Saccharomyces cerevisiae S288C: one gene and its partner. Changing the gene in region 2 together with the main gene of any one other region gives a genetic interaction. Each region holds a gene or a part of one and is shown on either strand. Other genes may lie near its edges.

Region 1 (3,054 bases), 450 kb from region 2:
GTAGCTGCCTTCATCGGTTTGGGGTGGGATAATCTTGTCAATGTATGGTTCAGTCTTTTCAACCACCTTGTTGTAATTTTTGTGAAACCTATGAATAACTAGATCCTTCATCCTGTCGATAGCACGGTCAATTCTAGCCTGCTTTCTATCGTAGATTAAAGGCACAGTGTACAAAAAGATGGTGGTCATTATCAAAACAGTGTTCATAGAGAATATAGCAAATAGGCCGTGCAAGAAATAGAGGGAAACACCAATGGTAAAATTGTTTCTTGTTCTGTGTGCAAACACTAACTTTCTGATTCTGTCCTCTAACGCAGGCAGACGATCCAATTCGCGGTCGATATGAGGCTTTAAGACGCCAACAAGGTCCGGAGACTCTTGCATGCCAAACCTAGACACTACTCCTTTATCAAATAGCACCTTTGTAGAAAGCTCCACCGCAAAACTCGTGAACAACACCATGTATCCGATCTTAAGTAAAACAGAAATAACATTGACATTTCTGAGGATCAGCAAACTCACCAGAGTCGCAGCAAAGCTCGCACCCGACTTGCTAGGGTTAGTCCAGTATATCAATCCCGTCTTGTTCTGATGACCTGCTTCACCGGGAGCGTTAGCATTTCTACTGTTATTCAAATTCGCGTTCTTATTGGTAGTCGTATTCCTATTCATGTTGATGATAGTTTGTGGCAAGTTGAGACAAGCAATTGAACAAGTTATTACTACTATTGCTACATAATTGATCTGCTTTTCAATCCCTTTTATATATTTTTTTCATCAAAGTAGCAAGCTTTATCGTTTGAGGGTGGAAATAAGGGTGAACAATAAGGGGAGATTGCCTATGCGCCTAAACGTCACCGTCTAACCTTGTTCTCCTTTCAACAAAAACGCCTTGCGTTCTTATTGCTAGGCCACAATTACAAGCATCTCAAATGGGGCATTATCACACCGGTACCACCGACACATTCTGCTGCTACCCTTGTAGTTTAAGTTAACTTTGCGTCCACTTTTCGTAATTATTTTGCTCCCTGGCAGCACCGGGGGTAAAGATGTCTTTCTGGCTAATGCAGTCATCCTTACATTGTCGTTCGTACGGCAGTCCAGGATTTTTGACCATCTTTACGCAGCAATTCCCATATAACATTCCTTCTCTCCTTGTCAATTGACCCTGGGGAGCGTCTGACCAATAAGAAACCGATGAGTAAGCAATGAAGGTCTTTTTTTTGGCTACGAAAATTTCAGCAATTTTTTAAAGTGAAAAAGTAAAAAAATCAAACATAAAAAAAGAAAGAAAATGAAAAAGTAAAGGAACGCTTTATATAAACGAGGCTACTAACTATCTGTATTATTGCTACACATAGCCTGAATTCAAGGTCATTGGCAGATTGACGCTCGTGTTTGCATGGTACAGGGCTGTATTAGATTTTGAATATTCTGTTCTTCTCATCCCGTATTAATATCTAGAACAATAGAAAAAAAGAAAAGCGAAGAAAATCTAGATAAATTTGTAGTTGGTAAATACACACGTACTATGGGCCCTGAAACTCTACATATTGGTGGGAGAAAATCGAAATTGGCGGTAATACAATCCAACCATGTTTTAAAACTGATCGAAGAAAAGTATCCGGACTACGACTGCAAGGTTTTCACTTTGCAAACTCTTGGTGACCAGATTCAATTCAAACCTTTGTACTCATTTGGCGGTAAAGCTTTATGGACAAAGGAGTTGGAAGACCATCTTTACCATGACGATCCCTCAAAGAAGCTTGACTTGATCGTTCATTCTCTGAAGGACATGCCCACTTTACTACCAGAGGGTTTCGAGCTGGGGGGTATCACTAAGCGGGTCGATCCAACAGATTGTCTTGTCATGCCCTTTTACTCTGCTTATAAGTCTCTGGATGACCTTCCAGACGGGGGGATTGTGGGAACCTCATCCGTGAGAAGATCTGCTCAGCTAAAAAGAAAATACCCACATTTGAAATTTGAAAGTGTCAGAGGAAATATACAAACTAGATTACAAAAACTAGACGACCCAAAATCTCCGTACCAATGCATCATCTTGGCGTCTGCTGGGTTGATGCGTATGGGGTTGGAAAACAGAATTACGCAGCGATTCCATTCGGATACAATGTACCATGCAGTTGGACAAGGCGCCCTGGGTATAGAAATTAGAAAGGGTGACACCAAGATGATGAAGATTCTTGACGAAATTTGCGATCTAAATGCAACTATATGTTGCCTTTCGGAGCGTGCTTTGATGAGAACTTTAGAGGGGGGTTGTTCCGTTCCTATTGGTGTGGAATCTAAATACAATGAAGAGACTAAAAAATTACTATTAAAGGCCATTGTAGTTGACGTTGAAGGCACAGAAGCAGTAGAAGACGAAATTGAAATGCTAATAGAAAATGTTAAAGAAGATTCCATGGCGTGTGGTAAGATACTAGCTGAAAGAATGATTGCCGATGGCGCAAAGAAAATTCTGGATGAAATTAATTTAGACAGAATCAAATGAACACCATTAATTTGATCAGTCCAAAAACTCTATTATTACTAACTAAAGTTCCCTTTTTTTTTTTTTTTTTTTTTTTTTTCCTTATCTCCTTTATCTTTCAGTTATTTATTTCCCTCTCATTCCTCTCATATTACTTGTTTAATTTAATGACCATTTTCAAATGACCACTGCATAAATATTTTGTCAATTAGAATATGTAATTCCTACCTTTGTTTATTTTATACTATTCATACAAGCTTCGTTGTTAATATATTTATTATAGCTTGTATATAAAAAATGAAATCTTGATTTATTAAATTACACTTGGTGAACTTCTAAAAAAACACTAATACATGTGACAACTATATACAACGTAAGAAGTGCAATACTAATCTTCTTGTCAATTTTCCAGTCGTTTAATGGTATCAAAACCGTAAATATCAAAAACGCGATCAGAATTCCGACTCCAGTATTGATTAAGTTTTTATCCACTTTAAAATCAATATGATGCATTAAAATATTACTATCTCTGCCACTCACTATTTTTCCAGTTTTGTCGC
Region 2 (3,265 bases):
GCTTAAACCAGCACTATGTATATTTTGGTGTTTGATACCGATATCGGCAGCTCGAAGCGTTTTTATGAACTGTAAAAATATGTCCTACATAGTTGTTTGGTAATTTTTTGGTTTTTTAAGATTGTTTTATGAATAGGTGTTTTACCAGAAGGCTATCGCCAGGTAACTCTTTTAACTAAATCGAAAAGATTTATTTGACGTGTCATATTGTAAAAACTAAATGGAAGACAGAAACTAACTTTGTCGACACCTATTTTAAACAAGTATCAAACGCGGGCTATAATTTTTATGAGAGCAATCAATGCAATGGAGTCTATTTCCGGTTAAATGGCACGATTGTGCGTAAAAACACGAGAAAGTGGAAGCATCTTTTTCTTAATGACGGATAATTACCCGAAACAGTGCAACTGCAAGTGCATACTCTTGAAGGACTTACATATTGAGAGGGAACACATTACTACCTTTCAAGAACACTCGCATTTACGGCGTACATATGGTTCCGCGGTAGACCCTAGGTTGAATTGAAAACCATGTTTTGAAGGAAAGCAAAGGCAGAATGAGAACATGGAGATGTAAATATTTTCCCAGTTAGGCATGACCCAAAATCGCAATCCAGATGCAATTTATTATGACACGTAGACCTTTCCGTATCTAACGTAATAAACGATATCTATTTTCGAGGCGCTCGACATCTCGTATCTGGGACAGAAAGTGAGGTAGATTATTCAAGAATACCTATTAAGAAAGGTAGAAGGTATTGCACCGATTCCTAGTATCAATTCTTTTCAAAACCACTTATTTTGCAAAACATGCGTCTAACCTGCCATTTCAGCAACGTAAATAATAATTACTTCCATATATATTCTTCTCCCCCAGTAGCAATTTTGACATGACAAATTTCAGCGATAGTTGCTTCGGCATTCGAAAATCGTAGAAGTATGTCTTAATGTAGAAGGTTGAGAACAACCGGATCTTGCGGTCATTTTTCTTTTCGAGGAAAGTGCAAGTCTGCCACTTTCCAGAAGGCATAGCCTTGCCCTTTTGTTGATATTTCTCCCCACCGTAATTGTTGCATTCGCGATCTTTTCAACAATACATTTTATCATCAAGCCCGCAAATCCTCTGGAGTTTGTCCTCTCGTTCACTGTTGGGAAAAACAATACGCCTAATTCGTGATTAAGATTCTTCAAACCATTTCCTGCGGAGTTTTTACTGTGTGTTGAACGGTTCACAGCGTAAAAAAAAGTTACTATAGGCACGGTATTTTAATTTCAATTGTTTAGAAAGTGCCTTCACACCATTAGCCCCTGGGATTACCGTCATAGGCACTTTCTGCTGAGCTCCTGCGAGATTTCTGCGCTGAAAGAGTAAAAGAAATCTTTCACAGCGGCTCCGCGGGCCCTTCTACTTTTAAACGAGTCGCAGGAACAGAAGCCAAATTTCAAAGAACGCTACGCTTTCGCCTTTTCTGGTTCTCCCACCAATAACGCTCCAGCTTGAACAAAGCATAAGACTGCAACCAAAGCGCTGACGGACGATCCGAAGATAAAGCTTGCTTTGCCCATTGTTCTCGTTTCGAAAGGCTATATAAGGACACGGATTTTCCTTTTTTTTTCCACCTATTGTCTTTCTTTGTTAAGCTTTTATTCTCCGGGTTTTCTTTTTTTGAGCATATCAAAAGCTTTCTTTTCGCAAATCAAACATAGCAAACCGAACTCTTCGAACACAATTAAATACACATAAAGATGCCTGCCCCTCAAGATCCAAGGAATCTTCCAATTAGACAACAAATGGAAGCTCTTATCCGTCGCAAACAAGCTGAAATCACGCAAGGTTTGGAATCCATCGATACTGTTAAGTTCCACGCTGATACTTGGACCCGTGGTAACGATGGTGGTGGTGGTACCTCTATGGTTATCCAAGACGGTACAACTTTCGAAAAAGGTGGTGTTAATGTCTCCGTTGTTTATGGTCAATTGAGCCCAGCGGCCGTTTCAGCCATGAAAGCTGATCATAAGAATCTGCGTCTACCAGAAGATCCAAAGACTGGTTTGCCAGTTACCGACGGTGTCAAGTTCTTCGCTTGTGGTTTAAGTATGGTCATTCATCCCGTTAACCCACACGCTCCAACCACGCACTTAAACTACCGTTACTTCGAAACTTGGAACCAAGATGGGACCCCACAAACTTGGTGGTTTGGTGGTGGTGCTGATTTGACACCTTCTTACTTATACGAAGAAGACGGTCAATTATTCCACCAACTGCACAAGGATGCCTTGGACAAGCACGACACTGCTTTGTACCCACGTTTCAAGAAATGGTGTGATGAGTACTTCTACATTACCCACCGTAAGGAAACACGTGGTATTGGTGGTATATTCTTTGACGATTATGATGAACGTGACCCACAAGAAATATTGAAGATGGTTGAAGACTGTTTCGATGCTTTCTTGCCATCCTACTTGACTATCGTCAAGAGAAGAAAAGATATGCCATATACAAAGGAAGAACAACAATGGCAGGCCATTAGACGTGGTAGATACGTTGAATTCAACTTAATCTACGATAGAGGTACCCAATTCGGTTTGAGAACCCCAGGCTCTAGAGTTGAGTCAATTTTGATGAGTTTGCCTGAACATGCTTCATGGTTATACAACCACCACCCTGCTCCTGGTTCCAGAGAAGCTAAATTACTAGAAGTTACCACCAAACCAAGAGAGTGGGTTAAATAATTCAAGGTTCTTTAGCAGACCGATTTTATGATCTCAATGACAATGATGATTTAATTATTTCGACCACTTATTTATACATTTTTTTATCTATTTATTATACCTCCTTTACATAATTCTTCAAATTCAATTGATACAGGATCTCTATTCTTAAAAATATTAATTATTGCGTCCTATTTATGATGCAAGTTCACAGTACGTGCAGGATCAAAAATTATATCAGTATCTATTGCTCTAAAAATATGGCAGCAGCCTTCATTCTCAATATGCGATCATGCCTTCTAATCAAATTTTAAGATGTTTTTATTACTCTTTTTATTCTTAGAAAATTCATCTTATATTCAAGGACTTCTTAATTTTCCTTCCATCTATGACCACAGTTTACACACTTATAAAAGGTAGTCATCGGCTCATCAGCTGACCTAATTTGTAGTTGGAAAAAGTAAGCACTCTCACCACCACAAGTATCATAATTGGGACATTGGGTTTTGGTTTGATCCACATTGTCCCAACCACCACCAAGAACATCATCAACT

What was found. A genetic interaction does not mean that the proteins touch.
Region 1: of HEM13 (region 2) and HEM3, changing one enhances a phenotype caused by changing the other (phenotypic enhancement), as found in Saccharomyces cerevisiae (one study listed by BioGRID).

The regions. Positions count from the first base shown.
Region 1 is NC_001136.10:92,223-95,276, reverse strand, and holds HEM3 (hydroxymethylbilane synthase), read left to right. Parts: upstream 1-1,531; coding exon 1,532-2,515; downstream 2,516-3,054. Other genes in the region: RTN2 (Rtn2p), read right to left, coding at 1-672; YDL204W-A (uncharacterized protein), read right to left, coding at 992-1,144; YCX1 (Ycx1p), read right to left, coding at 2,813-3,054. UniProt on the Saccharomyces cerevisiae protein: Catalyzes the tetrapolymerization of the monopyrrole porphobilinogen (PBG) into the hydroxymethylbilane pre-uroporphyrinogen in several discrete steps.
Region 2 is NC_001136.10:544,897-548,161, forward strand, and holds HEM13 (coproporphyrinogen oxidase), read left to right. Parts: upstream 1-1,745; coding exon 1,746-2,732; downstream 2,733-3,265. Other genes in the region: DNA-directed RNA polymerase III core subunit RPC11, read right to left, coding at 3,082-3,265.